4 linked regions of the Drosophila melanogaster genome follow. Changing the gene in region 2 together with the main gene of any one other region gives a genetic interaction. Each region holds a gene or a part of one and is shown on either strand. Other genes may lie near its edges. The genes, in order: 14-3-3zeta, tor, bowl and drk.

Region 1 (4,846 bases), 2.4 Mb from region 2:
GCGACCGCTGAATAGTTGCTACATTGAAATGGTTAGGTGAAAAATAGTCTCCAAAATGTTTGAAACCCCATACAAATGTTCTTTACTGAAGCTAACAACTAGTTTCAAAGACCCAGTAACATTGGCAGAAGCAATTATAAATGCTGATTTCTGCGCAGTTGCCTAAAAACCAACCAATTGAAGTTTAAACCATATGAAAACAGCTATTATTTGTGTTGCGACCGACCGCCAAATTGAAAAAGCATTGACCCTTTGTCAAAACAAAAAGGGCGGCGGGGCGTGGCGTAGCAAAAATATGGAAGGGGGAGGGTGCGGTGCGGTCTCCCGACGCGTTTTTAGGTCAATTGGCATGTTTTCTGCCTGTGCTCGGTAAATGCCAAAACATTAAGCCAGGCGTAACGTAAATTAACGTAACACTCCCCTAAATGGTCACAAATATGTTTGTAGTTTTTATCGGATAAATCAAAGGAGGAAAAACTTGTTTCAACCACGCAGATTGCTCATCTGCCTGAATGAATAAATTGGTAAATAGGGGGAAAAACAGGTGGGAGGTGGGTATCTCGAAGTTATAGATACGTAGACCTTAGAGGACGGTTTAACACCCATATGGTCAGGCTAATTTCGGGGCTAGAAAATCCTGCGAAATCCGTGTCGGATGGATACTTGGTACTTTAAACCTTATCTGCGCCGGCCGACAGCATGCGCAGTAGCTCAAGAACCCCCCCCCCCCCCCCAAACCCCCCGAGACCGAGCCGAGCAAGAACCCAATCCCCGATGATGTAGAAATTCCTCTACACTGTAGATACCGCTACTGCGGCTCTACATGGGGCGAAAAAGTTACTAACTTTTATTGGGGCTGTGTGCGTGCGACTCTGCGTGTGTCGGTGCGTTCTGGGTGGTGGTGGTAATGGTGGTGCGGATGGGTGAGATGGTGTTGGTGGGGCCGCCAATCGTGTTTCCAAGTGCGGCGCTACAAAATTATAAAAATAATCGGGAGAAAGGAGGAGCGAGGTGGGAGGGAGGGAGAGAGCGGAGAACGCCGCAGAGAGAGGCCGAAATGTATCTACCACAGGCGGCCGCCAAGTGTGTTGAGTTTGGCGAGGAAACCCACCTAACCGCGTGTCCCCATCCAAGTATCAACTTGGATATATATATATATATATCTATCTTGGCGTACTGTGTGTACATATAGCTGGCTATATAAGCGTAAATATAGAAGTCGGCTATGTCCGCCGCCTACAACTTAACCGATGAACTGCTGATGATGATGAGAAATACGAAGCTACAAGCGAATCTCACCGCATCACATACATGCACCAATACTCGGGCAACTCGGGAATGTTCTTTTCTTTCATTTTCTTTTCTTTTCCTTATTTTGCACAAATTTACACTTTATTCTTTTGCGTAGATTTTTTTTTTTTGGCTTCGGATCGATGTCTGATTTATGTATTTCGATTTTTCTGCGGGACGAAGTATAGATGCATGTAAGTGATTGCTCATAGGCGGCATTACACGTGTTTTTTCTTCGGATATTTTAGCAATTTTACGTTTTATAATTCCATACACACACTGGCAGGCGCACACACATAGGTACAAGGCACTCTGGGCCAGCAAAAATGTTACTTACATTCTCGATTAACTGAAACTGAAACGACAACGAACACTACCAACGAACGAATGAGAATGACGGACGGCAAAGGTTGCACACATTCGCCGCGCCGCTGTATCTGTGTTTCTGCGCTCTCTCCCCACGCACACTCTAGCAGGGGCACATGCGCCGCCGCAGAATGAGAGGGAGCATATGGGGCTGGCTCAGGCGAGAGCGAGAAAGTGCGACAAGTGAGAGAGTTTCAGGGTTGCCAACCTGCTGTATAAATTAATGTTGCCAGGTGTGCAGGTAAAACTTGGAAACCAAACTTTCAGATAAAATATACTAATTAATAGGCGTCTCAGAACTTGTAGATAGAGAGCTTTAAAATGAGCCAGCTTTTATTGTCAAGTCTTTGTGTTATCATCGTTTTATGAAGTAATAGTTTATAGTTCGTTTCCAACCTGTTGAAACTTTCGAGCGCTTATCTCGCTGCCAGATTACGCTTTTATCTTGACTTTATGGCCTCCGCAAGGAGGAAACTAATCGGGAGATGTATGCCATTGATAAGGGGGTGGCGGTAAATTGCCTTAATTCTAATTTGGATTTCATTGAATTGGTGCACTCACACATAAAAACGAGATATCCACGTACTTATGATTTTCGTGAGGTGAGGCAGGGCCTACGATTGTGGGCCGGAAGTTAAGGCGAGGATTTAACAATCAATTTCTAGTTCTAATTATACTTAGTCCTGTCAATATGGGATAATTCGACAAAATTAGAGTATATTCTTTTGAGTCTTCTTCTATTGTTAATTATACAATAAGAAAATATATTTAATATTCTATGATGTTTTTGTATTACATTAAGCATAATGTTCAAGTCATTAAAAAAAAAAAACGGTAATTAGGTGTACGAGGAATTTTCTAAATAATCGTGTAAGTGTATTGCAATTCAACTCGTGCGTGGCGAAGACATGCTCACGCGCTCATCTCTACATTTTACTACAGCTCACAAAGAACAAGACGGAAAAAATTACGTCATCGGCGTCCTATTTGGTTGCGGTAATGAAAAATTGCTACGTCCATTTCCAATTGTAATGGGATTTTCGCAAGGCCAGTACCGCACGCAATCAAATGCGGAGAGCCCAAGGGGCAGGTGGCATCCAATTAGGAGGCCAACGGAATCGATAAAGTGCGTGGGCGCACTTATTCGGGGAAAATTTTATCCGCCGACAATATGGCGGTCGCAAGCCGACACACGACGCACTAGGTGAAACTACTTACTGCGCCTGGGTTTTCAAGCGAATATCGAATATATGCGTAATCCTTGGGCTCTCAGCACACGACTTTTAACTTAGTTTTAAACGAGCAAGCACTTATTAATTAGTTAATTCACCTCTTACGGCTCGGACGTGAAGGTTCTTCTTCTTCTCTACGCGCAGATGTGTTGGAAAACGAGGAAAGCTGAAGTAGGGATTGGCCCGCAGGAATTTTCCAACCCGCACGGTGCGAAATTCCGATACACGATAGAGCTATCGATTGTTGGTTAGGAACATTTACCATCTCTAGAAGGCCGCACGTGTTTACGTTCGGTGGGAAATATTCTTGGTTTCTGTTAAGAAAACGTTGCTATTTAAAGGCTACAGATATGCCGCGCTCCAAACGTGATAAGAAAGGTGAGAGTTTCGGCTTTAATATATACGATTTGTACTTATAACGTGCGATACTCTTCTTCCCTTAGTTTCCCTGACCAAAACCGACCGCAAGGGTCTGGCTTGGAAACAGCGCATTGTGGACGACATTCGGTTCTGCGTGGGCAAATACCCAAATATATTCGTTTTCCAAGTTCAGAACATGAGGAATAGCTTGCTGAAGGATCTGCGACAGGAGTTGAAAAAGAATTCTCGTTTTATCTTTGGCAAGAATCGTGTTATGCAGATTGGCTTGGGTCGCACGAAGAGCGAGGAAGTGGAGCCGGAATTGCACAAGGTAATTAAGTTTAAGTGGATTAACATATATCAGACACTAATCACAGGCTATGTCTATTAGCTATCCAAGCGATTAACTGGCCAGGTGGGACTGCTTTTCACGGACAAATCCAAGGAGGAAGTCCTGGAGTGGGCAGAAAACTACTGGGCCGTGGAATACGCACGCAGTGGCTTTGTGGCCACGGAAACGGTTACCCTGCCAGCAGGTCCCCTAGAGGACTTCGCCCACTCTATGGAACCGCATCTGCGTTCCCTGGGCCTGCCCACCAAATTGGAGAAGGGAATCGTTACGCTGTACAGTGACTACACGGTTTGTGAGGAGGGCAAAGTTCTAACACCCGAACAGGCGAGAATCCTCAAGCTGGTGGGCAAGCCCATGGCCAAATTTCGGCTGACCATGAAGTGCTCGTGGACAAAAAGCGAAGGCTTCCAGCTGCATGTCGAGGATGATGTGAACGACGAGGAACAGGCTGATAGCGCAATGGAAGAGGAGGCCGAGGCCGAGGCCATGGATGACAACGACGACGATGATGACGAAGAGGAGGATGATGAATAAATAAGTTTAAGGCGTAGAAATAATTTTTTTATGTATATATCAAGTGCAGAAAATATACGTATATTTTAAAAGTACATTACATATTATCTTACGTTCAACACAGATAATACTTGATTAACACTAGCTTATACTAATAACTAAGTAAACAAAACACTTAAGAAGCATTTCAGATATTGCAGCTAAAACCAAAGAAAGGCACAAAGCCTCAGGTTGCGTCGTCCGCGAGGATGTAGAGCACCAGAGGCTGTTCGTTATCGCTCTCCTCCTCCAGGAGTTCGCTGTTAGTTAGGGAAATATCCTGAGAGGCCGAGCCCTCCAGCTCCAAGGCACCGGTGCTAGCACTTGAAAAGAATTCCAGAGGCATGGGTTGCTCGGGATCTTCAGGATTCGAGGGGGTTTCAGTCTCCAGTGCCACGTCCTCCTCATCATTCTCCCCGGCTGACAACTCCAAATGTTATTGGTCTGTCGAGTTCGGCGGCACCGTGCAGCCCGCGGCAATGTGCTCCATCACCTGCTGCTTCAGCTGCGCCACATGGTCCTTGAGGTTCTTCACGATGCTAGCCAGGTCGACGTTCTCGCCCTTAAGTACCTTCACGCGATCCTCCAGCTTTGAGATGCGCTCCAACTTGCGCTTGCGGCACTTGGATGCAGCCACACGGTTACGCTGCCTCTTGCGCTCCAGCTTGATCTTCTCCTGCGCTTCCATGTCAAT
Region 2 (6,274 bases):
TGACCAGCTGTACGGGAAAGTAGTCCCGATAATGCCGAAACAGCCAATTGTTGCGGTTAATTTTCCAGCTAAAATGGATTATTTTAGCTTTAAGTGTTCTTATAGGGACTTCATGACGCCTACCCATTGCCATCCATAATGGAGTGGGTTCTCTTGTGATTCGCGTAGACGTAGACCAAATAGATGACCATAATGGTGCGCCACAAAAGGCTTCCATAGAACTGGAAGGGAATGCTTTACTTTTCAAAATATTGAAGCACTGATGTATTTACCAGCACGGCAGCAACGAAGAAATAGGATCCAAAGGAGAGTATCATAAAGGATAGGATTAGGAAGGCCATGGCAAACGTCTGGCGACGCCGTTCCATGGGAACTCCTTTGGGAGCCCACTCGATTTTCATGATGTCAGAGCTCTCGAACTCGGAAAGTTGAACTACTTGGTAGCACGGTCCTCCGGCGACTGAAAAATGGAAATGTTCAATGTTTAGTTACCATTTCTTATCCTTATCAGTATCCGTCGGTGGCGCGAGTGCGTGGCTATTGGTTAGAGTTGTTAAAAAAATACCTTCGATTTAATGGCTATTCGCTTGGGGTGTTTAAAAATTCGAGCAATCAAGATAATGACTTGCTCTATATGGACGTCTGGCTAGAATGCCGATATGATATTATATGATATGATCTTATCATTGCCAACAACAGCCGGCTTTAACGTTTGTCCGATACTTGTGATCACATATATATAATTATTGTTTTGAAATTTCAATTGCAACTGGTTTGAATGCCTTTAGAAAGAGAACGAAACTGCTGTTGCACGACAACCTCCTCACTTTAATTGAATGGTGATAAAACTAACTGGGAGTTACTCGTATTGCTTTTGATCCGATCCGCTTTGGCCTAGTATCACAGGCTAATTATTTTAAACTTGTAGAGCTTTAATAAACTAGACGCTCCCATAGAAATTTATTATTAATGTTTACACACGTAATGGATCGTTATCGCGTTTGAGCAGCAGAACCGACGATGCGAGCGTACAACATTTAACTAAACTTGCGAGTGGCACTGAATGCTCGAGTTTCCCATGTGAGTGTTTCGAGTACTCGAATGCGATGCAACAATTGAGTCACCAATGTAATCGAGCGTTCTATACGAATAACCTGAATCAGAGGCAACTGAGGTCATGTGCATTTGCAAGTCGCTATAAGGAAATACCTGTATTGTCAGCTCTGTTCCAATTGAAATGGAATCAGGGAAAGTGTGATCACGCAAAAGCTACAATGTGGGCGAAATTAGCATAGTTGTTTTTTGGTTAATTTCGAATATTGGCGCCCAACATGGTTTCTAGGGATGGAAGCGACCAGCACTGCATTCTGATTTATCGGTTTGCTGCAATACAAGCTCTTTTGGCGCAACAGATCATAGAAGATTGAAATACAAACGTTGTTGGTGGTATCACAAATGAAAATTGCGAAGAGTTATCTGAAGTCAATGTTCTATGCTTATCCCAAGCCCTGGCGCTACTATGACGGAGTAGCGATCCAAATTTTTGCATTTCAAATGACCCCTAGTCCAATCCCATCCATACGATCAAGTACAATACGATGCAGTGAAGAGGTGAAAAACAAATCAAAACAAAATAGCGCAAAATATATTCAACGAGTCCGCCGCTTCTCATCATTCCTCCTTCTTCGTCGCTTTTTTACCATCGCATTTTTGGCCTCAGTTTCTCAGTTCTTTCTCAGTTCAGCAAGATAATCCGAGAAGGACGGATGGTATTGATCTCGAAAGTTGGAATCTAGAAACTAAGTATTCGAATTTGCTGTGTGTGTTATTGAGTTTTGTATCAAAGTGCGTGGTGGCAAAAGTGCAATAAACTTTAAGTCGGTTTTAAACAAATACACATTTCATTCCAACACACACACACCGACACACAACGAAGAACTAAAGAAGGGTTTCAAAAGCAGAACAAGGAAAATGCTTATTTTCTACGCGAAGTACGCATTTATCTTCTGGTTTTTCGTGGGAAGCAATCAAGGTGAAATGTTGCTAATGGACAAAATCTCTCACGATAAGACGCTTCTCAACGTCACCGCTTGCACCCAGAATTGTCTGGAAAAGGGCCAGATGGTATGTTTACACCCTTAGAATGTTGGAACACTCCATAACCAAAAGTGCATGCTTCTTTTCTCGACAGGATTTCCGAAGCTGTTTAAAGGACTGCAGGATTAATGGAACATTTCCCGGGGCTCTGCGCAAGGTGCAGGAAAACTACCAGATGAACATGATCTGCCGCACGGAGTCGGAAATCGTTTTCCAAATAGATTGGGTGCAGCACAGCAGGGGAACCGAGCCGGCTCCAAATGCCACCTACATAATCCGGGTGGATGCTGTCAAGGACGACAACAAAGAAACTGCGCTTTACCTGGTCAGATATTAGATGTAAACTCATTACTATTTACTTTAAAATACCATTTTATTTGATGAATTTCTAGAAAAAGATGTACTATGTAGTCATCAAGACCTAATGTTTCGTTTTACAAGTGGATCGCTCTTTTTCATCGACTTATTCGCTTGCAGTCTGATGACAACTTTCTCATCCTGCCGGGATTGGAGTCCAACTCTACCCACAACATCACCGCCCTGGCGATGCACGGAGATGGCAGCTACTCCTTGATAGCAAAGGACCAGACCTTCGCCACCCTCATCCGAGGCTATCAGCCCAGCAAAATGGGAGCGGTGAATCTGCTGCGGTTTGTCCCCCAACCAGACGACCTGCATCACATTGCTGCCGAAATCGAGTGGAAGCCATCGGCGGGTAAGTAGCTCCATCAGTTTAATCAATCAACGATCTACGAACCCTACTTTCATATTCCAGAGAGCAACTGCTATTTCGACATGGTGTCGTATTCAACCAACAGCGTGAATATGGACGAGCCACTGGAGGTGCAGTTCCGGGATGTGAGTATGCCATGACGCCCCTGCAATGCTAGAGCATAGCTAATCTTTTACTGCAGCGCAAAAAGCTGTACAGGCACACGGTGGACAACTTGGAGTTTGACAAACAGTATCACGTTGGCGTAAGAACGGTGAACATAATGAATCGACTGGAGAGCGATCTGCAGTGGCTGCCAATCGCTGTTCCAAGCTGCTTGGATTGGTATCCCTATAACTACACACTCTGCCGTAGGTTCCTCGAAAGTCCTATATAATAATAATATTAATAATAATAATATTGTTCCACCCTTTCATAGCACCCCATAAGCCAGAGAATCTTACTGTGACCCAGAAGCAGTATCTGCCAAATATTTTGGCCCTGAACATCACCTGGGCGCGTCCCAGATACCTGCCGGATAACTATACACTTCACATCTTTGATCTATTCAAAGGAGGTACGGAGCTAAACTATACACTTGACCAAAACAGGAGCCACTTCTATGTACCCAAGATCACGGTACTGGGTTCCCATTTCGAAGTACATTTGGTGGCCCAGTCGGCAGGCGGAAAAAACGTATCCGGTTTGACGTTGGACAAGGTTCATCGAGGTGTGTTGCTGAGCGGTACGTACGCTGAAGGAAATTAAATATTTAGACATCCATTTCCATCCATTGAACAGAGGGCAACATGGTCAAGTTGGTACTCTTTATTATCGTGCCCATATGCTGCATTTTGATGCTGTGCTCCCTGACGTTCTGCAGACGAAATCGTTCGGAGGTTCAGGCGCTGCAAATGGACGCTAAGGACGCGAAGGCCAGTGAATTTCATCTCTCCCTGATGGACAGCAGTGGCCTGCTGGTCACCCTCTCGGCCAACGAGAGTCTGGAAGTAATGGACGAGCTGGAGGTGGAGCCACACTCGGTGCTCCTTCAGGATGTCCTCGGCGAAGGAGCCTTTGGCTTGGTGCGACGTGGAGTTTACAAGAAACGCCAAGTGGCCGTCAAGTTGCTGAAAGGTTGTACCATTTGGTATTGAAGTTCTTGAATAATTCATGGAATTTTTGTTCTCACAGATGAACCAAACGACGAGGACGTATATGCGTTCAAGTGCGAAATTCAGATGCTCAAGGCCGTGGGCAAGCATCCAAATATTGTGGGTATCGTGGGATACTCCACTCGTTTTAGCAACCAGATGATGTTGCTAATTGAATACTGCAGCCTTGGAAGCCTGCAGAACTTTTTACGGTAAGTTATTTTTATACATATTGGAAAACAAGTGATGTATAGTAAAAAATGTATTACTTAGTGAGGAGTGGAAGTTCAGGCAGGAGCAAAATGCAATTGGACTTAAGAAGAACCTTGAACAGAACGTGGACAACCGACGGTTTAACCGACTCCCTAGAAATTCCATCCATGATCGCATAGAGGATATCAACAACTCGATGCTGTCCACTGTGGAAGAGGAGAGTGAATCGGATCAGACACACTCAAGTCGATGTGAGACCTACACCCTCACTCGAATAACCAATGCAGCCGACAACAAGGGCTATGGCCTGGAGGACATTGAAAACATCGGTGGGAGTTACATTCCCAAAACCGCTGAAGCTCCAAAGGATCGGCCAAAACGGAAGCTGAAGCCGCAGCCCAAGAAAGACTCGAAGCAGGATTTCAAATCGGACAACAAGAAGCGAATCTTTGAGAACAAGGAATACTTTGATTGCCTCGACTCATCGGATACCAAGCCCCGAATACCACTGAAATATGCAGATTTGCTAGACATCGCCCAACAGGTGGCGGTGGGAATGGTAGCCTACATCTACTCTATCCCTAAATGTAATTAAAAAGTGTAGCATGTATCATTTGCCATTTTAGGAATTTCTGGCCCAAAACAAAGTAGTGCATAGGGATCTGGCTGCCCGGAATGTTCTAATCTCCGTAGATCGCAGCATCAAGATAGCAGATTTTGGGTGGGTATCTCTGAAAGTTCAATGATTAGTTATATTGTGTTTTTTTTTTTAAGGCTGAGTCGAGATGTGTATCATGAGAACGTGTACCGAAAGTCCGGAGGAAGTGGCAAGCTGCCCATCAAGTGGCTCGCGCTGGAGTCCCTCACCCACCAGGTGTACACCAGTCAGAGCGATGTGTAAGTATATATTTTTGTTAAGTCCGAAGCGATTTTGTGGCTGATATCTTACCCTCTTAGTTGGTCCTTTGGTGTGCTGCTCTATGAGATCACCACTCTCGGTGGAATGCCATATCCGTCGGTGTCTCCCAGTGATCTCTTGCAGCTACTGCGACAAGGTCATCGGATGAAGCGACCGGAGGGATGTACGCAAGAAATGTGGGTATCAGTGCTTAGCGAAGTACATAATTGTTGATCACATTTGCTTAACTCAGGTTTTCCCTGATGGAAAGCTGCTGGAGCTCCGTGCCATCACACAGGCCAACATTTTCCGCCCTTAAACACAGACTTGGTGGCATGATTTTGGCCACTAACGATGTTCCAGAAAGGCTGAAACAACTGCAAGCTGCAACCGAGTCAAAATTAAAGTCATGTGACGGTCTAAACAGGTAAGTAATCTTTAAAAAGACAATTGTATACGTTACTTTCTTACCTTTTACAATTTAGTAAAGTGGAGCAAGTGCCATGCGAGGAAGAGCTATACCTAGAACCTTTGAATTAATAGTCATTGCTTCAAGATTATAATGAACGAGTGCAATACATTCTAAATTCGAGTTCCAATTCAGACAATGCTATGCGCCAGATAACCTTGCATAGCAATAAACATTAAAGCTAGCCTAAGAAAAATTTAATTTCTTTTTTATAAGAAAAACCAAGATATTTATAGAGTAAACTTCTAGCAGTGCCCTTTATGTCTCATAGAAACCGACCATTTCAAAATGTTTGTGCCTCCTTGCGGCTTAGGTTTCGAAAGAAGGTCGTTTATTTGGACCCCAATCAGCATCATTTTTGAAAATTCCAAATTGAAAGTCGGTCCAAGCTGGCTTGTTTACAGTGTTTCAATTCTACTTCTGGCCACCTCGATCGATGTGCATCCACTGCTGTCGCCTCCGCCGGACACCATGTCCACCGATTCCCTACAGCTGTCCACACTGCCCGGTGCGCACCATCTCCAGCTGCTGTCCACTGGGCAGTCGGCCCCTCGCCGAGAATCCTTTCATAAGAGGTCCGGATCGGGAGCCAACCCCCGATCCCTGCGACACCTTGCCACCGCGCTGGCTGGACCTCAATCGACGGGTCATATTTGCCTTGGCAAAAAGATTATGTCGATCTCCAGAGGCAGCTCATTATATTTTGCTTCGCCTGTTGTATGCCAACTATA
Region 3 (4,955 bases), on a different chromosome or scaffold from region 2:
GTAGAAGCACTAAGACTATGATTTATTAATTCAAATGCAATTGGATTATGCTAATTGCACACAAATCTTGGTACAAATTATTTATATATTTTTTTCTTCGACAACTTTTGGAACCCAGCCCAAAACTAAACATGTAAACTGATAATCACCTTTCCGCTGTCTGATTTCATTGATAGCATTAAAAATTCATATTCCCTAGACAACATCTAATTTCCCCATCAAAATTGATGAGTTCCCGTTCCAGAACAACAATAAATGAACTGGTCTATCAGGTGAATTATACACACGTGCCAAAACGAGGCGTGTCCATATAGCCATTTCAATTTAAAACCCGAATATGGCGATCCCTAACGAGCCATTGTTCTGCGGTTTTATGGTAAATCTAAATTCATCAAGTATTTTGTCACGATTTTAATTAATTTCGATTTCAATTTTCCTGCCACAAGGCAATTACCAGCAACATTTTCCCCTGCTGCTGGTGCAACCGAAAAATGATAGTTGGTGGCCCAAGATGGAGAGGAAAACCCACCCAAAGAGGTAAAGCGTAATAAACTTTTATGGTACTCCCTTTCTTATGCTAAAACTCTTTTTGGACACAAAACCAAATGGCCCATAAAGCAAGACAATGAATATCCAAAATAGATCTCCACTGAGGCGAAACAAAAGCCAATAACTTTATAGAACCGCAACCAAAAAATACAAAAAAAAAATAATAATAACTCAGACTGTGAGAGCGCGGGAGGCGTTCTACAAAAAAAAAGCTTAAAAATGAAGGAAAAAGTAAAGCATTTAAAAGAAATCAAGAGATGTAGATGACGATGATGATGATGGTCTGAGGTTGAGGCTGAATCCGAATCCGAATCGGTATCTGAACCCAACAGAAGCTTGCGGCAATTGCGTTTCCTCTTTGGCCACACGTTCTGGACAATTAAAGCCCCAGCCGAGCTCCGAATCTGAATCGAGCCAAGTTAAGACAGCGACCACGACCGAAAACCGAAAACAGAAAACCAAAAAAACCGGATTCCAAGCCGAGAAGGAGCGAAAAAGACGGCGAGAGCGACCACTGGCCACTGGCACTGGCTACAAGTGAACTGGTTTACAAAGAAAAGAAACAGAAATGAAAGAAACATGTGAAAAATCACGATCTATAAAGCCGATGCACTTAATACCCTAGGCAAAATAAGTAAATAATACTATAGATCAAACTAGAGTAGACTTGTTGAAAAAAAAACACTGGAATAAATAAGAAGCTTATAAACTATCAGCTTATTAAACTAAGTTTGCCTAAATTTCGTAAAATATATTTTTAAAACCTAACGCGATGCTTTGAAATTCTGTAAAATTAAAGTTTTTCAGAAATGTAACGTTATTAACACCGATTAATATTTTTAAATAATATTTTACAAATTGTGTACACCATTTTCAAACGAAGTACCCTTACCAAGAGCACCCATAAGAGACCCCCAGAATTCCAAGCGAAGGTTTTTCGAGTCCGGCTCGAACCGACCAACTCGAACTGAGCGCCACAGCAACAACAATGGGGCAAGCGGGTGGTTCAGGATGGTGGGGAAGTTTGCGGGGGGATGGGGGACGTACTCCACCGTGGACTGTGCGGCACCACACTGAGTTCAGTGGCAATGACAGTGGCACATGCAGTTGTAGTGGAAGCCGCTTGTCGGTCGACAGTCCGCCAACCGCCAACGTTGTTGCGCTCTCTTTCCTGTTTTTTCGCCCCGTCTCATTCTATTTGTGGAGCAGGTTTTGAGATATATCTTGGGTCTTTCTCTCTCTCTCCTTCTCTGTCTGCGTACTCGTTATATTTTTGTACTCGCTGCCTTTTTGGCCAACGCAAAAAATACCAAAATAAAAAAATAATAAACGTAATTAGCTAGCCCTACGCCACAAACAGAAAACAAAAAAAAAAACAACAAAAAATAAAACAAGTAAAAATAAGTGGTGTGGAATTTTTGTGTTCATCTGGGAAGGCAGGGCCTGTTCTCGGCGGAATCTTACCTGTGGGTTAAACAGAAGAAAGCCCCAGGCTCTTTGGGCTTTATCTTTGCGTCCTAAAGTATCCAAGTAGTTGTTTCAATATGATTTTGCTGGTTTTTTGTCAGTTTGTAAGCTTTGAAATGCTTGGCATTGTTTTTGGTTTTTAAAGTAGTAATTTATATCATTTAAGTGGCACTTGAATTGTATGTTGTTTTTTCTTGTTGTATTTGTTTGAAGACTTCTGTTAATACGATTCTGTGAATTTAAAAGTAAATAATTTTATTAAAATTTTCAAAATATTTGTCGGAAATTTTTTGTTATATTTTCAGGTTTGATTTTAATTTTAACAAGTATTTCACCGAATCATTCTCAAGTAAATGTATTTAAAAAAACACGCACACTAAGGGACAATTTTGAGATTCAAATCACGGCACGATCGCCCCAGGGGGTGGGGCTGAGGGGGCGGCAGGGGGGCGGTTACGGGAGCAGCAGCAGCATCAACGGCAGTCAGCTACCACAAACCACGTAGTTTTTTTCCTTCCAAAATCCACGTACAACTCGCGCACAAACACACGATGTATTTGTATCTCACAGATATGAAAACCGAACGAAGAAAAACCCGAACCGAAACCTCAACCTCAACGAACTGAAAACCGAACGAGAACGAGAGATACACGGCAGCTGAAATGTGTTTTTCTACATTTTGTTTGAAATAGGAGCTGAAGCCAGTGCAGCTACCAATTCGCTCCTCAAGTAGTCCCAAACTCTTCCCACACACAGAGTCAGTTGCAGTTGAAAAGCGCTTTTCTCGAGGCAACTGGCGATGCAACAAGTTCACTCACACACACACACACACTAGCGCTCTGGGCCCGCTCAATAAGATACATCGGCGGCGAAAGATACAGATAGATATAGAGCGAGAGGCACTCACAATGCAGTTCACTTTTCCAACAGCTATTACCAGCGATCCGCGCGCAGGTGCGTTGGCCACGATCAACTCTCGAAGACTGAGCCACGAACCCAAGAAACAGGGCCCGAATGGAAAAAGAGAGAATCGAGAGAATCGCGGGCTGAGAAATGCGTAGAAAGAGACAAGCGACGAGTAGCGAGCAGTGGCACTAAAACCAGCTTAGTGCACTGTGGAAAAAGTTTTAACAATTCTTAAATATCTGAAGAGTAAGGCTCTAATTTTCTGTAAATAACAACAGTATAAATCTATCTGCTTAAATATACTAGATAAATAATGGATGCATTTACATATTTTTCTGAATTAACTAGTAACTTATATTCAGTTTGAATATAGTACGACATTTCTTTCAGTGGAGGAGAGGAATTAAACCGAACTCAACCCAAACCCAACCGGCCGCCAGTCGCACGCTGCTAAATGGACGGATGGGCCCGTGGACGGACTTATATGGAGACTGGCACTGGCGGAGCGTGGAACGTGCATTCGTACGACGAGTTATTGTCAGTTAGAGCGCTACCTGTTTACCGACCGACTACCGACTACCACCGACTGCTTTTTTTTTTTTGGCCCAGTCGAGAGGGTAGGGTACAATTGGCCCGGGTGTTGCCAGATTGCCGTTGCTGCTGCTGCCCATGGATCGTTATGGTGGCTTCACCCGAAAAGGAGGAGGAGGGTGTAACTCTGGTAGTTCCCTGTTTATTGTTATGCCTTTTTAGTGGGGGTGTATTTTGTTCTTCGGCTTTTGTTGCGGTTTCATTTAGGGGAATGACTAATCAGAAAGCATTTTTAGGGAGGCAAGGTGATAAGGTTTCTTCGAAGAAGGGGTTGCCAAGTCGAAAGTTGGGGTGAAATAAAGTGCATTACTCACACGACTATATATCTATATTATGACAAGTTCCAATGTTCTACTGATAAGTAAATATTTATTTGGAATAATTAGTTGGTAGCTTTAGGGAAAAATATTTATACATATGTATTTAAATATACACTGATGATTAATCGGCAGCCGAGTTATACAATTCATTTATGGAAATAGGTCGTAAAACAATATAAGTCTAGAAACCATCTTATCGCCAGACTGACTTTTATTAATGGTAATTAGTCCTTATAAAAGAAGGCGAGCACGGGAACTTGGAAAAAAATAAAACATAGGTAAATGATTGATTCGAGCTAGGCTATGTAAATAGGTCTTATATTATTATAATAGACTGTAAAATTTCTATTCTAACAATCTGGCAACCTCTGCTCGCAATGCAGCATCAATGCGGTCAAGTGGTAAAAGAAAAGACGTTAACAAAAAGACCAAAAATCAGCTAGGGTCCCAAAAGTAGAGGGAGTTACGTTTCGGCCACGACGGTGATCATGGTCGTAATGATTCCGAGATGCAGAAAAGAAAAACCCGAAAAGTACCCAACAAAAGAGAGTCCGTAGCCATGTAATTAAGGTGCTGCACAGTGGAACTAAATTGTGGCTGCTGCCACTGCAAAAACAGTAAGTGGAAATGGAGATACAAAGCGGCAACAGGCAGAAGACCAGAAATAAGTGGTAGAAAAGAGAAGACGGAAAAACGGTAGCTGCCTCATAGGGCGAGCGAATTGTTATGCTAGTCGTCGTCGACTTCCCCCATCAACAACTGTTGCTCTTGCTGCACTCGGAAAATAATTTTCAGCATATATAAATAACAATAAGTAAATAAGAAATAAAATAAATAATTACCATAATTGGTCTCCCTTATAATTGGATTCCACAATACATAAAATTGAAATTGACTATTGTTTAATAATAATATCTAATATCTAACCCTTACCTTGCTCTTTTTGCTTAAAATAAAGATGTACAAATAAGATATATATGCTAATGCGAACCATAAGATCGTTGTGATTTTTCTGAGTGCCCGTCGGTTGAAGTGGCTTCCCTCCTTGCATATTTTGCATCGCTTTACGATTTTAAAATAAATTACTTGAAATTTGTGTAAAACATGTGGCCAACTCGGAGT
Region 4 (5,022 bases), 5.8 Mb from region 2:
TGGATAATGCATAAATATTTAGCGGCGCTTTCGGAAGGCAGGCACGTAGTGGCCATGATTGTTATTATCAATTGTTTATACTCGTATGCTTATGTAATTACTAGAGAAAAAATTCTATTGTCGTTTCGGAAATCCGACGCTGAAAAAAGTGTCAAAGCAACACGAACGTTCACTTTTCGCTGTTTTCGCGACAAGCGAAAGTTGAGCACAGAATCCCATTTCGTGTGTTTCACATTGTTATGATAAAACGTGGCCACTTTTGGTGCCCACACAACAAGGCCGTTAGAATTGGAGGCATTTTTTTTTTTGGAAAATGGAGCTCCAAATATCCAAGAAATACGCTGACCTGTAAACCAGTTTTCTGGAAAGAGAACGAACCCCAATGAAATGTTTGATGATTCACAGCGCTCCTCTCTCTATCGCCTTCTATGCCTGCTGTATGTTTGCTGGATTGGGGCATCTTTTCAGATAAGGCTATCGAGAAGTGACTAATCGCTGGCAAACAAACAAATGCGCTGGGAGTTCGAACAGATATGCGTAACATACATATCTCCAATGCGAGATAATCGTGTATTTCTATTTATCCCCCGCATCAATGGAGCCCAGAACTATGGGCTATTAAACGAACTATGACTATCAGTGCGGATTGTTTACCCATTGATAAGACCGTGCAGCTGGACAGAGGGCTCATCTACGGCGTAGAAGCCCCTCTAATGGACGGGAGCAGCGCACACACTTGACCTTCGGGCGGCGATAAAGAAGCCTCTTCGGCGAGTCATTGACACCATCAATCAGCAGCAGCGGCAGCAGCAGCAACAAATGCTGCAAATGCAGCGGCGGCATATGGAAAAGAGGCGCAAAAAAAAGAGGCACAAAAAGGGAGAAAACCTGCCACGGGCCTGGGTTCCTGCTGTGACTAACCTACGACAAGGTAGACACACAGCAACGAAAATCAGCTTACATCGCGCCCTGGCAACAAGAAACCGGAAAATTCGCCAGCCAAAACAAAGGGTTTGGCCTAGGACAGCCAGCCAGCCAGCCATCGAGCCAGTGAGCCAACACAAACACAAACACCTGGAAGGAAGCAAGGCGGCGAAAAAGATCGAATCGCAGCCTGCCAGCAGCCTTTTTCTTGGCCAGAAAAGCCAGCGAATACAAGCAACACGGGTAAGCATCGGATGTCCCCCACAAAGTTCCGCAAAGTCAAAGGGGGCATCGAATATATCATCACTACAAACTGTTGGAATTGTTTTTCTAAGCATTCGGAAGAAAACGAATAAGGAAAGTTGAAATAGTATATATACTATAGGAATGCTAACAATAAATAAGTTCATTCAAGGAAACACAGTGAAAAATGCTAGATTTGCAAAGTATAGTATATAGATTAAATCATATATGCATGTTTATAGCTTTAGAAACCCCCTCCTCACATCATTTTTTAAACTTACTTTGTAATGCTAATCACAACTATATGCAGATTAAATGGGGTCAAAAATATGGTCTTGATAGATTTGAAGTGCAGTTGAGAAATGAAAAAATGTAGAGTAGAATGTACAATATTTCAGTATGTGATGCTTCACAAGGATTTTGTACTGATAGTGGAATATATTTGACTGAATCTTTTCGTTCTAGTAAGAGTATTCGGGCTGCGGTGGCTAATGAGTCGTAATCCTTTCGTGTTGCCTTCTGCGAATGCACCTTTTGAAACTCTTTAGCCAGCTTTTGCGACTGCTGTCTGTTTGGTCGCGATTTAGTAACAAAATCTGTCTGGGGATTGAACCTAGGATGTGGGTTAAGGCAACGACCTGGACGGCGGCAGCTGCATCGCAGCGGATTATGCATGCAGGACCTGCCACGTCCCCCTGTGCACCCCCTTACACCCTTGCGTGCCCCCATTCAGTGTGAAGTCTATGAATAAATGCAGATATTATGATTTGAGGTGGGAATTGATGATTTTGGAACAGCACTCACCTTTAGAATCTGAGTTTTGCGAAAACTCAGCTCGTCGTCAGCCGTCGCAGAGAAATCGTGTTTGGCAATCGCTTCCATTTTGCTGTGTTGTTTTGTGCGCAGTTAGAAAACGCTTTCGGAGTTTGTTTTAAAATTTAGTTGCAATTGTAGTTTTGGATTTAGTTCTATCAGCCTTGATGCACCACACACACGCACACACAGAGGCACAGACACACACGCTCGTTCTCTGCTCTTTCTCTCTAACTCTCTTTGAATTTCTCTCTCACTCACTACTCAGTGCTGTGGAAATGAAAACGAAACGAGACGAATCCGCGATTAGTTAGCGCACATTATATAAACGATAAATCATGGATATTCGGCAGTGCGCTTTTCTCAGTTCGGTTAATAATAATATATCTTGTGCGAAGGCAAGGGAAGAAAGCGATTAAAAATACACCGACGACGACGACATTCCCAGGCGGAGCAGCAACAGAGAATGAACACAGACACGAGCCGCTCTCTCCACGGCGGCCACTGTGTGGGTGTGTGTGCGTGAGCGTGGCAGCGTTGCCAGCAGCTTGCGATTTGGAATTTCGGGGAAAAGCAGGTACCGCAAAAGCAATTAGACGATGTTTGGCTATTACTTGTTGTTATGCGAAGTAATTTGCCTTAAATAATATGAAATGTGTCGCTTAGAACACAATTAACATTTGGCAATCTAGGGCGTGGGTGCTTGCTGTTGGCAATGCTGCCGCGGTGACGTTGTTGTTTGTTTTATTTTTTGTAACCCCAATAAACACACACACACACACACACGCGGCGCTTATATTTCTATATGCGTAAGTTGCGGCTAACTATTTTCGAGTCTCTGGCACGTGCAAAGAGGCCGCCGGGCTTACAATTTCAAAGGGCTAGGGTGGCTGCAAGCTTAAGCGACACTAATTAGGCGCGGGAGCGGTTTGGCTAACATATTACTACTGCTAAATTTGTAATTCACTTTTATTTTCATAGCAGCGTGACCGTGGCCGGGTCGCTTTATTATTCCAAGAAAATATACTGAACACAACACTGTGGGAGAGGCATACCGCAGGGCTTTCGTAGTTTTCCTTCACCTGGTCACACCGCAAGACGCTTCGCCATTTTAAAAATCAAAACAGGAGACGCTTCGCCGGAAAAGTCAGCATTACGTTTCATTCCCAACCGGACACTTCAGTTTGACTCGCCCATCCGTCACAGCAGTCGCCATGCAGCGCCACAAGGAACTGTACAAGGAGCAATCGCTGGTGCTGAGTCCGCGCAATCACTGCCAGGAGAACAGGGATCGGTTGCAGGCGGCGCGCGCCAAAAAACGAGAGGATTGTTTTTATCAGAACCGCATCATCAGCGTGAGCCCGACGCCCGTCAAAATAAAGCAATTGGCGGCGGCCCAAGCTGCTCTGACCCAGGAAAATGTGGCACCCAAACTGGAGAGTCCGGAGCGGCTGGACACGAAGCCCGCAGAACTGCTGAAGGAATCCAACCCGAAGGTCTCCCGCCAGAAGCTCTACTTACAACGCTACATGGAGTGGAAGATAGCCAAGACCAAGGAGCATAAGCAGCAAGACCAGAAACGTCGAGGCGCAGCCATCAATGTGCCGACAGTAAAACAATCAAAGGCCTTGCCCAAATCACAAACATTTCGGGTTCCCGATAATCTGGCTTCTGCAAAGCAGAAGGAGGCGGCTCCCATGTTCCAGCCTCCCAAGCGGTGTTCTCTCTACATGATTGCCAATCCGACGGGCAAGGGAAAAGCCGCAGAACCGATTAAACCTTCAATACCCAAGCCAACGTCAGCAGCAGCTCCTCCGTCATCCAATACCGTGGCTGCATCTTCCGCCTTGGCCAGGCATAAATCAGCTGCTTCTGCAACAAAAATAGTGCCTGCAATTCGTCAGAACAACAATCCAGTGGCCTTGGCCAGGCAAAAAGCAGCTGCACGACCCATTCCCAACACAACGAAGCAAACTACCAGTGTAAGGCAGCCTGGGATTGAAGCGAAAAAGATCACTACCACCATACCCAGACCCACCCCAGCGACAGTCACGAAAGCGAAAACGCCAGGCATACGACAACAGCCACCAGTGGTCAGCACAAAGCCAAGATTACCTGAGCCGCCAGCGCCACGGACAGCTAGACTGCCCAATGTGTTGTCCAAGCCGTTCGAGAAACCTTTAGGAAACAAGGCACCAGTGACACGACGGGCGAATGTCGTGAAACCACAGCCTATACGTGGCGGAGGTGGTGCCGCGGCCAAGTTCAAGGACACAGCTGGAGCGACCAGCAAGGCAGCAAGTCACTCCATACGAATGAAGGCCACCAAGATAAAGAGCCAGTACACGAGGCTTCAGGACAACGTGCGAAAGCTTCCTCAGCTCAAAGCCGAGTTGCTGCACGCAGCCACGCTAGATATACCGCCTCTCACGCCGCTAGACGATATCCATAATCCCTTTATCGACCAGGCCACATCAACGCAGTGCAAGTCGAACAATAGCAGCGGTCATCTTTTGGAGGCGTTTGGCGACACCATCTTGTTGAGCCCGGTGGCACCGGTCAAAGCTGAAGGAGAAAGTTCGGTGAAAAGGCAGTTGCTGCCGGAAGGTAAGAAAGAGGCGTCAGGTCCGGTGGCAAAGAAAAAGTTCGACTTTACGCGTTACTCAGTGGCGAATTCGCCGGCGGAGGACTCGCTCATCTTGGATCCTCAGCAGACGACGGGTGAGTTTGGGATACGCCTTCTCCAATCTTAAACTCAAACTCACATTTTCCTTTCAGTTAAAGAAGACACTGGAGATTCCACTTTGGTGCCAGAGGGTACAAAGACACCGCCACGTCGCGAATCCAATGGAATGCCCAACTATCTCAGTCCGTTTGTTAGTGTCTCGCGGGGAAAGGTGAACTCGCGCTGTGAGAAGGAGAAACGCAATAGCTTCTACCTGTCCAATGAGGAATCGCCCTTGGAAGTTCGCCGTGCCATTGAATCGGTTCTGTACTTCCGACTGCAGCTGGAAAACGAGATCACGCGCCTCCAAGCGCTTT

What was found.
Region 1: of tor (region 2) and 14-3-3zeta, changing one suppresses a phenotype caused by changing the other (phenotypic suppression), as found in Drosophila melanogaster (2 studies listed by BioGRID).
Region 3: of tor (region 2) and bowl, changing one suppresses a phenotype caused by changing the other (phenotypic suppression), as found in Drosophila melanogaster (2 studies listed by BioGRID).
Region 4: of tor (region 2) and drk, changing one suppresses a phenotype caused by changing the other (phenotypic suppression), as found in Drosophila melanogaster (2 studies listed by BioGRID).

The regions. Positions count from the first base shown.
Region 1 is NT_033778.4:10,097,879-10,102,724, reverse strand, and holds the start of 14-3-3zeta (14-3-3zeta), read right to left. Parts: upstream 3,049-4,846; 5' UTR 2,987-3,048; exon of another isoform or gene 2,875-2,986; intron 1,690-2,874; exon of another isoform or gene 1,548-1,689; intron 1-1,547. Other genes in the region: RpLP0-like (ribosomal protein LP0-like), read left to right, coding at 3,239-3,266, 3,332-3,579, 3,640-4,134; Jra (Jun-related antigen), read right to left, coding at 4,589-4,846. UniProt on the Drosophila melanogaster protein: Required in Raf-dependent cell proliferation and photoreceptor differentiation during eye development. Acts upstream of Raf and downstream of Ras, and is essential for viability.
Region 2 is NT_033778.4:7,704,643-7,710,916, reverse strand, and holds tor (torso), read left to right. Parts: upstream 1-1,732; 5' UTR 1,733-1,971; coding exon 1,972-2,124; intron 2,125-2,191; coding exon 2,192-2,422; intron 2,423-2,574; coding exon 2,575-2,812; intron 2,813-2,872; coding exon 2,873-2,955; intron 2,956-3,011; coding exon 3,012-3,180; intron 3,181-3,248; coding exon 3,249-3,554; intron 3,555-3,610; coding exon 3,611-3,946; intron 3,947-4,003; coding exon 4,004-4,175; intron 4,176-4,236; coding exon 4,237-4,735; intron 4,736-4,802; coding exon 4,803-4,897; intron 4,898-4,950; coding exon 4,951-5,073; intron 5,074-5,133; coding exon 5,134-5,271; intron 5,272-5,327; coding exon 5,328-5,501; intron 5,502-5,559; coding exon 5,560-5,614; 3' UTR 5,615-5,734; downstream 5,735-6,274. Other genes in the region: CG1941 (uncharacterized protein), read right to left, coding at 1-68, 124-221, 273-401; CG34216 (uncharacterized protein), read left to right, coding at 5,980-6,274. UniProt on the Drosophila melanogaster protein: Probable receptor tyrosine kinase which is required for determination of anterior and posterior terminal structures in the embryo.
Region 3 is NT_033779.5:3,769,753-3,774,707, reverse strand, and holds the start of bowl (brother of odd with entrails limited), read right to left. Parts: upstream 3,009-4,955; 5' UTR 2,835-3,008; intron 2,789-2,834; exon of another isoform or gene 2,693-2,788; intron 2,683-2,692; exon of another isoform or gene 2,392-2,682; intron 2,248-2,391; 5' UTR 2,014-2,247; intron 1-2,013. UniProt on the Drosophila melanogaster protein: Putative transcription factor. Required for leg joint formation, acting downstream of Notch to pattern the leg tarsal segments. Functions in the terminal pathway during embryogenesis, acting downstream of tll in the posterior of the embryo.
Region 4 is NT_033778.4:13,499,842-13,504,863, forward strand, and holds the start of drk (downstream of receptor kinase), read right to left. Parts: upstream 3,001-5,022; 5' UTR 2,850-3,000; exon of another isoform or gene 2,084-2,849; 5' UTR 2,050-2,083; coding exon 1,972-2,049; exon of another isoform or gene 1,633-1,971; intron 1,168-1,632; exon of another isoform or gene 780-1,167; intron 1-779. Other genes in the region: mars, read left to right, coding at 3,195-4,701, 4,759-5,022.